3 linked regions of the Mus musculus genome follow. The protein of the gene in region 2 interacts with the protein of the main gene of each other region in a biochemical or structural test. Links are inferred from orthologs where the notes say so. Each region holds a gene or a part of one and is shown on either strand. Other genes may lie near its edges.

Region 1 (3,652 bases), on a different chromosome or scaffold from region 2:
AAAGACTGGGAAAAGTACATTTACAAATTTTGAGAACCTGGGAAAAAAGTCTGACTATAATACTTGATGACACACAAGTGTATAATTAGAAAACATAAGAATTTAAAAAGAGTTATCACTAAAAATATGGCACAACTTCAGCTGTTTCCTCCAAATTTACTTTATAATTGGATGGATATAAATTAATGAACAGAAATTAAGCAAGATATACGAGACAATTTAACAGAACCTGATAGTCTAATTTCAGTATTTCCAAGTTCATCTTTAAATATTTCCATCATGGGATCTACTGGGAATCTAAGCAATGTATGACTGCTTCAACTCAATGTCAATTAACTATTTATGACATAATTTCTTCTACACCGCAATTATGAAGAACCTTCAAGAAACTTTTGTATGTAAAAAAGTGTTAGTCAAGTACTCAACACAATATAAAAGAACATTTCTCATTTGTAAGGTGGAGAGCGCTTCTGCTCATCATTTTTTAACCACAATATCACTGAGTGGAAGGAACGAATCACCTGGAGAACATAAGGAAAATAAACACATGCTAAATGAATAAAACATTACACTTTACTAGACCATTTCTACCTCTAATCCTTCAGAAGTGCAGAGATTTAGAGTATTCTTACATTAATTGCAAGAAAAAATAAAGGAGAAGTTCCTTTGAGATCACAACTATGAAGTCATGTGGTTATACAAACCCTGCTGCATTGGTGTGCAAAACATAACACATTTGCCTCTCCTGTCAGTCACCTAGCAAGACTGAACAGGTACTTTTCTAGGAAACACACCAGATGTGTTTCTGTAACTTCAATAACCTCAGCACTACAGTAACAAGAGATGCAGTATCCTTTTGCTATGGTTCCAGACAGTGGGGAAAGAGGTCACAGGAAAGAGAATCAAAACTGTTACAGATGAGAAACTGTTTCTTTAAGTTTCATCATGGTGCCACCTTCGTTTTTATATAAGCATGGTGGCATAATTCAAAGCTCAACAAATCAGAAATATTAATATTTGAATTTCAACTTGACTTTCAATTATCACCATATTAACCACCAAAACAATAAGATAAGACACACAAGGAAAGGGATATCAAATCCACTTTGCTAGCCTTGTTTCCTGACACATCAACTCATTCTTAATAGAAAAGGGATAGTGCATCTCAGTTTGCTTACAAGCTAGGAGATCACTGTGAATTCTGCATTTCCTAACTGCAAACAGAATATAGCACTTACAACAGGTTATAAATAAACTGGTTTTCAAGCATAGAGCCAGCCCCAACGATAATAATACACTATTTAAAAAGACCTAAGGCAATGAATTCCATTTCCAATGGAAAAAAAGAACTGTGCAAACAAGCTTAAAACTACTATTTTTTTTTTTTTGTGCCAGTGTTATAAAATGTAGCTTTTAATAAAACCTTGACCCAAATGTCAGTAACTTTTCAGAAAAGAATTTGGGTGGGAGAAGAAACTTATTTCATTTAGGAAAAATAACAACTATCTTTTTCCTAAGCTTCAACACACACAATTTAAACATGTACAGTTGCTGTAACACTTTACACAATTCCTATGTACTGGAGCAAGAACAAGGTCTAATAACAATTATATTTTAAACACTGGGTCAAGGCTTTACATAAAAATACCATCCATCCTACTTTCCCCCTAAATTTCTAAAATATCACATACTTCCCTCAACATCTGCAGCCATCCAGGAATTTTTAGGAAACTTTTGTGCATGATCTTAATTCCTAATCCCTGGCTCTTTGGGCTCAGTGACAAAAGATCAAAACCACCAAAACTGATGGTTCACTTGAAGTCAGACGAGAGACCCTGGCTCAATTAGTCTCATAGGATGAAAGCAGTGCTGCATCCACTGGCTCCATGCAGGAGGGGCACGTGAAGGATCTCATCAACCAGTCATCTATACAGTCCAGGTGATAGATGTGCATGCACGGCAGAAATCGAATTGGGTCCCCATAAACAAAGTCCATCATACAGATCACACACCTGAGGGAGCAAAGAAGAAATCAGAAAATTTCACATAAGTGAAACAGTGTTAATGTTAATCTAAATACACACAAGCAAAATATTCATATACCTAAAACTTTTTTTTAAAGTTTCCCTGTTATCTCATTACCAAAGCATGAAAACTGATTTTTTTCCTAACATGCACTGAAACATTCATATTATTTCATTTTGATTTCTTAATTTATTATAAGCATTGAAAGCAACTAAAATGAGCAAAGAAAAACAGACTATGTTAAGGATCAAACCCATACTGTGCCTAAACTTGTTACACATTACAAGAGACATCTACTGTGAGCTTTAGGGAGGAAATTACATCCATTGCTTCCTTACAGAGTTTTCAAAGTAATCAGGAATAATACAAACAGAATGACTATGCCTGGAGTGGTAGGACACTGAAATCAGTATTCTGGACAAAGAAGTAGGTGGATCTCTCTGAGTTTTACTCCAGCTTGATCTACATAGAGTTCTAGGCCAGCCAGGGCTGCATAACAGAAGGCTGTCTCAAAAACAAAGCAAAAGAAAAAAGCAAAAGAGAATGACTGATCCAGTCTACTGTGTGTGCTCCAAGTTAAAACTGTCTCCATTAATTCACTTTCAAGTCCACTACACTTTTCTACAGGTTGAAGAAACCCAATTCTACAGAGATCCAAAACCAATGCTCTAAACAGACTTTGCTCCTAAGTGCCAGTATTAATTAAATGGTGCTATAGCTCAAACAGACAAACATTAAGCCCATTTGGTCTGTGTTTGTTGGTAAAGCCATTCTTAATTAGAATAGCTGTCCCTATTAAATCAAGACAATAAAATTACTCATCAGGCTTGAAAAAAATTACTTTCTTAAGTTATGAAAGATCTCTTGTGTCACTAAAAACTTGAATAGTCTTAATTGTTGCTGTAACTATCACCCATAGACCTATGTGTATGGATACTTGGACCCCCTTATGACATTGTTTGGCAGGTTTTAAAAAACCCTTTAATTGGAGCCTATTAGCCATCTTGTGCTAGTTTTTGGAGAGAACCACAATTGAGAAAATTCCTCCAGATTGGCCTGTGGGGACTCAGATCTACAGAGGTTTTTCTTTTAAATTAAATTAATGATGGCTATGGGAGGGCCTGGACCACTGAGCAGTGCAACCTCTGGGCATGTGGTTCCTGGGTAGTCTAAAAAGGCAAGTTGAAGACACCATATTGGGAGTAAGCCAGGAAGCATGGTTTCTCCCTGGTCTCTGCCTCAGTTTCTTTCTTAGCTTCCCTTGATGACTATAAACCAAATAACCTTATTTTTTTCTCCAAGTAGCTTTGGTCAGTGCAGTAGAAAGTTACTAACATTCTGTTTTTCCAGTTTAGTTCTCAGCTGCTTGTCTGTTAGCACAATGTGAGCAGTGATCTCACAGACCCACCAACACAGACAAGATTAAGTCTTGTTGCTAGGCTTTTCCTACCATGACAGAGTTCCATGAACTCATGAGTCAGAACAAAGCCTTTTTCCCTTAAAGCTTTGTCAGTTATTTTACTACAGTGAGAAAAATAAGACAGCCATATACCTAAGAAAGTATTTCTTTTCACTTTTTCTTTTTTTTTCTGATACAGGGTTTCTTTATGTAGTCCTGGCTGTCCTA
Region 2 (3,652 bases):
GTTCTAATTGCTGTGAAGAGACACTATGACCAAGACAACTCTTATAAAGGACATTTAATTGGGGATGGCTTACAGGTTCAGTCCATTATCATCAAGGTGGAAGCATGGCAGTGTCTAGGCAGGGATGATGCTGGAGGAGCTGAGAGTTCTACAGCTTCACCCAAAGGAAGCCAGGAGCAGACTGACCCTTCCACACTGGGTGGAGCTTCAAAGCCCACCCCACAACGACACGCTTCCTCCAACAAGGCCACTTCTCCCAACAGTACCATTCCCTATGGGCCATACATATTCAGACCACCCTTTTGGGAGGTGAATTTTATTTGGTGGGCAAGATTTACAGTGTAGGGTTTTTTGTTTGTTTGTTTGTTTGTTTTTCTGTGTAGCCCTGGCTGTCCTGGAACTCACTTTGTAGACCAGGCTGGCCTCCAACTCAGAAATCCGCTGCCTCTGCCTCCAGAGTACTGGGATTCAAGGCATGTGCCACCACGCCTGGCTTACAGTGTAGTTTTGTCACTATTGAAATGTGAACTATATAGATTAAATTATAGCTTACACACTGTTAGAATTCCCTGATAAACTGTTGATTGGGGTCTCAAGATGATTTGACAGGTGAGGCCACATGCCAACAAATCTGATGACCTGAGTTCAATTCCCAGACCCTAGATGGTAGGAGAAAAATGATTCCTGAAAGTTGTCCTCTGAATTCCACCTGTGTATTGTAGCTTGTGTTCATGTATACCTACCTACCTACCTACCTACCTACCTACATACAATTAAATGAATAAAGCAAACTAGTTATATATGTGTGTATGTGTATATTTTAATCTGTAGAGACATGTTAGTATCAAAATGACTTTAGTATAGTTCTTAAATATTGATTGTATTAGGATGTCAAGTGGACACTATAGCAGAATTCATGTATTTTTTTTTTCAAGACAAAGGTTTCTCTAGGTAGCATTGGCTGTTCTGGAACTCACTTTGTGTAGACCAGGTTGACCTCCAACTCAGCAGCTCTGCCTCTGCCTGAATGCTGAGTTTAAAAGTGTGTGCCACAACGCCTGGCCCTCAAGTATTTACATTTTAATATAATGTCAAAGTTGTTAGTTAAGTGAATTATGTTACATATCCAACATGTTTCTTGTGGTACACTCTGGATCATTTTCACAGGTAAAATGAGGTAGAGGTGACTGTGATATTAGAGCAAAGAACACTGCAGGCTGATGAATTGCCTCAGATTGTAAGCTAACAGTGTTAAAATGAATGTAAATCAGTGCAGACCTAAGAAAGGCACAGAGAAACCTGTAGTATTATTTCTTCTCATCCTCTTTTGGAGACAAGGTAGTAGCTCAAGCTAGCCTTAAACTCATGTTGATCCTCCTGCCTCAGCCTCTTTAGTGCTGGGATGATAAGCATGGTGTGTTACGCCCAGCTTGTGTTTACTGAGTCTTGATTTTTGTCTAATGTTTTAAAATTTTAGAATTCTATTTTGAACTGGAGTTTTTACAACTCTTTGTTCTTGTCAGAGTCCATTACAGTGATTATCAGACACTGGGGACAGGACCTACAATGAGTAGATACTTCTGGAGATTTAAAGATACAGAGCAGTGGTGTCACTTGCCTTTAATGACAGAGCTGGAGAGACAGAGGCAGGCAAGTCTCTGAGATTGAAGCCAGCCTGTTCAAGAGAGTGAGTTCCAGGTTAGCTAAGGTTACACAGAGAAAAACCCTGTCTCCAAAAAAAAAAAGAAAGAAAAAAGAAAGGATTCCGAGCTGACTGCCAGCAGACAGAGTTACAGTCTCTGCAGCACAGGGTCTGTTGGGTCTGTTCTGAAAGCTTTCCAGGTAGTGCAGCTGTGCGCCTGTGGGATGCTCACTGCTAATCTAAGACGACTTGGGAGGCGCAGCTTTGATGCCCACTGGCTTACCACTCCTGCAAATATTTCAACAGCTCATTATTTGTGGACTTGGCAAAATTGATGTGAGTGACTGGAAGGTCAACACCCGGTTAAAACACTGTACCCCAGACAGCAATGTCGTCAAGTGGTTCTGGAAAGCGGTGGAGTTTTTTGATGAAGAGAGACGAGCACGGTTGCTCCAGTTTGTGACAGGGTCCTCTCGAGTGCCTCTGCAGGGCTTCAAAGCACTACAAGGTGAGGTGTCATGGGATGGGCACACAGGTACCTGGCATCTACTCGTGCATGGGTGGAGAGAATCACGTTGTCTGGGGTATGTTGCAGTTTTATAAGCCCTGTGCTTATAAAGATCTCTGACTAGCTCCTGCATGGAACTGCCTTCGCAGCTCCTTCTGGAGAGGGTTCTGACAGGCTTCTCTGTGATCACAGAGTGCGCTGTGGAATGTAGGTTGGAGCCTAGGTACTGATGCTCTGTTTTGTACCTTGTGGTCACCCTGCTTTACTTCTGTAGGGAAGGTCATTCACCTCCATGTTGACATCTCAGCTTGGCAAAACCTTTACTCACCTAAGATGCCTCCTCTGCCTTTCTTTTAGCCAGTTGTTTGTTCAGAGCGCTTTATTTACTATATGACTTCAGACCATCTTAAATTGTTTAGGATTGCTTTTCTGTGGGATAAGCTGTTGCATTTTGCTTGAGTTGGTAACATTGCTGATGATTGTGGTGGATCATTCAGTGGCCATTGCTTCCTTCACCTTTCAGCGCTTCCTTTTCAAAACTGCTGGAGAGGAGGGAGAATCCGCAAAGCGGGACTAGTCAGAACTCATCAGCAGTTGCCCACAGAGCGCTCAGAAAGCCTGGGCAAAGCTGCCTGACGTTGTGTTCTCCTTTTGGGGAGCGTGGTGTCGTCTTCTCTTCTGTGTTTGTATGGGGCATGTGTGCTGACTGAAAGTGTATCCTCTAGACTGCTAATCTTTGCTTAAGCTCAGCTTGAGTCATAAGTCTAAATTTGCGTTAGTCATCTTTTAAAATAGGATGCAAATGTATATTTTAAGCATAATAGCATATGCCTATAATCCTAGTCTTCTGGAAGCTGAGGCAGGAGGATCTTGAGTTTAAGACTATCTTGAACTACATAGCAAGATTCTATTTCAAAAAAAAAAAAAAAAAAAAGCCGGGTGTGATGGCGCACGCTTTTGATCCCAGCACTCGGGAGGCAGAGGCCGGCGGATTTCTGAGTTCAAGGCCAGCCTGGTCTACAAAGTGAGTTCCAGGACAGCCAGGACTATACAGAGAAAGCCTGTCTTGAAAAACCACAAAAAAAAAAAAAAAAGGCCAGGCAGTGGTGGGTGGTGGCACAGGTCTTTAATCCCAGCACTTGGGAGGCAGAGGCCAACCTGGTCTACAGAGGGAATTCCAAGACAGCCAAGGTTACAGAGAGGAAAAGAAAAGCAAACCTAGTGTGTTCTTATTGCTTGGGATGCAAATATTCTGTGGCACGTGTTTTGTTGGCAGAGGGACATCGGTTAAGCCTTTTGCTCAGACAGCACTGCTGATGCTATGGCACCTGGCCTTAAACACATGTCACTTACAACCTCAAAGCCAGGCTCCTTTTCCTATGCGCCCCCAAGTTGGTGTGTGTGGATACAAGGTGCTCCCCAGCTCCTGTGGCTTATGTTCTCATCTATTCTGAGGCTTTGGAGATGGGTTCGTGTGCCTGCTGTGATCTGACCCACATTCC
Region 3 (3,652 bases), on a different chromosome or scaffold from region 2:
TGGCTGGCTGGCCAGCAAGCTCCTAGAATCCATCTGTCCCCGGGGCCTCGGTTCCTCAGTCCCAGCACCCCCATCTCCACCCACGATGGTGTTATACACACTCACAGCCATGGCTGGTTCTTTTGGGTGCTAGAGCTTCACACTCAAATCCTTGTACTTGCCAATTTTTGAGCTCTACCAACTGAGCCATCTCCCCAGAATTCCATCTTTTTGAAAGATTTACAAAAACATCCTTTTTTTCTGAAGTTAAATTAGTCTACTGATACTATTATTTAACTAACACCTCAAATGATACACCTATAGGAGAAAATTTAGGTACTACTTAGTAATGAGGCTGGGAGGAGAGACAAAAACCCGAAAAGATTGCCCCAAGTAAACTGACACATATGGAGCCCTACTTTTACACATATCCATGAAATCTAACTGGAACAAGGCTCAAATTTAAAGTCTGCTGACCCAAGCTAAATCCTTGCCATACAATGTTAAGACTTGAAGCTACAATTCTCTAAGACACACAATAAGCAACATCCTTGTCAGTAACATCCCTCAGGCTTCTAGTTTAAAAAGCAAAATTAAAACCTTCTAATGCTTTAACAAAGGGACCACTGCCTACTCCCTGGATCACAGAACATTGTTACCCTATTCTCCGACACTGGACTTAGCTCTATCTTATTTGTTACACAGAGTCAGTCAATACAATTACTTTTGCTTCTTCAACATGATATTCTTCAATCATGATAAAAGGCCATTATCAGCTCTCCATCTCTAAACAATTCATGCCCAATAGAATTTAGGACTAGATACCCAAGAGGCTGATGGCTCTGCAGGGAAGAATATGCCATGCTCTTTTAGAGGACCAAGTTTAGTTACCAGGACCCACATATGGCAACTCATAAACACCTGTAACTCCAGCTCTAGGGGATCTACAACCCTCCTCTGGATTTCACAGGCACTGTTATTCACACAAGCACAGACCCATATATACACATGATATACACATAATTAAAAGCACTGTAAGGGAAGCTCAGTGCCTAAGCATATATGCAGTACTCTTTATCACATGCTATCAACCCAGTAGAAGCCTGGGTTTTCAGTATGCTCTAGCCAACTTCCAAGTACAGGCGTCTGGTTTTCTACACACAAGAATTTCTGCCAGGCTTGCACGTGTAGCAGACTGGGAGATACAGTTCACTAACACCAGCAGACTGGAGAATGCAGAGTGAGACCACCGATGAGGGGGACTACACTCAGATGTTCTCAACGAAACTGTTCAATCTTACTTTTATCCTCCTTCTAATCAGAGGGCTGCTCTGCTGCCAGACTGACACTGCCTTTTCTATCTCCTGAAACTCTCCATGTATCCTCTAGAACCCAGGTCTCGTGCCATTCCAATCAGGAAACTTCCCTTGAGCACAAAGTAGACACCTCTGGTTTCATAAAGTGCCTGTTTAAATCCAATTTAGTCTCCTCTTCTATAATACAGTCATTTCAAGTTTCTTATCTACAGGCCTCATGCAATTCATGCATGGCCATGAACTCCCAGACACATCCCAACACCTCGATTATGTGTTTCCAAGGATTAAATCCAGCACTTCACACAGGACACACAAGCACTCCACTAACTGAGTTATATACTTAGCCCTCTTTCTTTTATTATTTTATATAAAGATCTGTTGAAAACAGACATACATGAACTACAGAAGATACAAAGAAGAGAATAAAAATAATCACAGTGGAGAAAGTCGAAACTTGAACGGGGGAGTCATACCGATATTCTGCTCCCCAGCCCTTCACAAAACTCATTCTTATGGTGCACATTCGGGTTAGCTGATAAACGGCTTCAAAACCCTGGTTGACAGACTGAGCCAGAAGAGCAGCAAATTCTTGGTTGTTGAAGATCTTCAGGTTACAGCCTAAAATTGAGAAACAGTAAAATATATTATGAAAAAATATTTTTAAAAGGATCCATGTTTTAGAATGAGCATGCAAATCAGCTCCTAATTCCTAAAGCCATGAGCAACTAGCGAAGTTAATGAAGCAAGTGAGATGAGAGGTTTATTTACAGGGTTGAATCCATACCTGGTGGGATCTTACACACTGTTGCAGGGTGCCAGCCGTATCTCTGGTTACAGTTGGGGCTCTGCACAAAGATTGCACTATCACTTAGGCACTCAGCAAACACTTCCCCACCTATGTAATACAAGCGCACTCCCCTTCCTAAAACAAAGCACAGGTGATTAGCTTCAGAAGGCTTGCTCTCTTCCGTGGGCCTGCACATCATGCAGAACCAGTTCTGAGGCATTTCCATGACTTTCGCTCAGTCATGCTTTCCTCAACTACAATTCCAAAATATACCACAGCATTGCATCTTTCTCTAGGATTTTTAACAATTTTGACTTTTCGAAGTAATGCTCATAAAAATATTTCAATGATATAGGAAAGTATATGGTAATGAGATGGTTTCATTCAAATTACCTGTTGTTTTAAAATTCACTTAAAAATTGAGTTAATTTTGAGTAAATTAACTAATGTCTGGGCAAATTTTCCACTAAGTTAAGAAAAGACTTAAAAAAAAATAAAAAAGATCATGTCTACCCTGTTACGTAACCGCCTACTTTGCAGTGCAAACACACACTAGGTTAACAGACTTTCCTAAGTAGCAGCAGCTGCTTTCGTTATGGGGCAGAGGGAATAACCAGTCAAACCAACAGCAAACCACAGGTAGAGGATAAACACAGATGCTGCCATTCTACTGTCTTAAGACTATGTGAGGGGCTGGAGAGATGGCTCAGTGGTTAAGAGCACTGACTGCTTCCAAAGGTCCCGAGTTCAAATCCCAGCAACCACATGATGGCTCACAACCACCCATAACGAGATCTGACGCCCTCTTCTGGAGTGTCTGAAGACAGCTATGGTGTCTTTAATAAATGACTAAATTAATAATTAATGAACAAATCTTTAAACCTCAATCTTGCATTGAGCTCTGAGTGAAGGATGAGGGTCAGGCCCGGAGGATACACTCAGAGGGCAGTGTGCCTGACAAACAGTCCTGGAAACCCTCACACACAGAGGTGCGTGGGAGGGGCGGGAGGGATCGCAGTTAAGTACAAAAGTCGACTTTTCAGATAATTCCCTGACCAAATCACATAAGAAGCTAGCAAAAGTTTTTTTAAAAATATAAAAGATAAAATTATAGTAAAGTAAAATTCAGTTGGGTGACATGAAAAAGGGCAGAGTAAACTAATATTCTTTAAAATAAAATGGTCTCATTAAAACACAAAAACACGGACAATAAAAACCTATGTGAGTCACTCAGGGAGGCTATCACAGCCTGTATCTGCAGCGCTGTCTGACCTGCTCAGCAAGATGGTCCAAAGTAACAAGGTCTGCGCAGCTCAGACAAAGCCACCCGTACATTTACTAGCTGCTACCATTTACAATGTCAGCATTAATTTCTGGTAATCAATGTCATTTCTCAGGTGAGGAAACGGTTGATCCCGACGAGGCAGAAGTAAGCTGAGGTTGGAGAAGGGATCAGTGATGCTCGCTATCTGTAGTTCTATACTCTTTGCCTTGTTGGTTAAAAAATACTAAGCTCCCCAGACAATTTATGTATATGCATACTATAATCATGGAAATTTACCACATTAGA

The links. The genes of interacting proteins can lie anywhere in the genome.
Region 1: the proteins of Smurf2 (region 2) and Rnf11 form a complex in vitro, tested with the Homo sapiens proteins (3 studies listed by BioGRID and IntAct, with this or other methods). The link is inferred for Mus musculus from reciprocal best matches to the Homo sapiens genes SMURF2 and RNF11.
Region 3: the proteins of Smurf2 (region 2) and Smad2 form a complex in vitro, tested with the Homo sapiens proteins (3 studies listed by BioGRID and IntAct, with this or other methods). The link is inferred for Mus musculus from reciprocal best matches to the Homo sapiens genes SMURF2 and SMAD2.

What each region holds. Positions count from the first base shown.
Region 1 is NC_000070.6:109,452,411-109,456,062, forward strand, and holds the end of Rnf11 (RING finger protein 11), read right to left. Parts: intron 2,013-3,652; coding exon 1,841-2,012; 3' UTR 447-1,840; downstream 1-446. UniProt on the Homo sapiens protein: Essential component of a ubiquitin-editing protein complex, comprising also TNFAIP3, ITCH and TAX1BP1, that ensures the transient nature of inflammatory signaling pathways. Promotes the association of TNFAIP3 to RIPK1 after TNF stimulation.
Region 2 is NC_000077.6:106,823,107-106,826,758, reverse strand, and holds part of Smurf2 (E3 ubiquitin-protein ligase SMURF2), read left to right. Parts: intron 1-1,948; coding exon 1,949-2,150; intron 2,151-3,652. UniProt on the Homo sapiens protein: E3 ubiquitin-protein ligase which accepts ubiquitin from an E2 ubiquitin-conjugating enzyme in the form of a thioester and then directly transfers the ubiquitin to targeted substrates.
Region 3 is NC_000084.6:76,300,644-76,304,295, reverse strand, and holds part of Smad2 (mothers against decapentaplegic homolog 2), read right to left. Parts: intron 2,218-3,652; coding exon 2,080-2,217; intron 1,914-2,079; coding exon 1,769-1,913; intron 1-1,768. UniProt on the Homo sapiens protein: Receptor-regulated SMAD (R-SMAD) that is an intracellular signal transducer and transcriptional modulator activated by TGF-beta (transforming growth factor) and activin type 1 receptor kinases.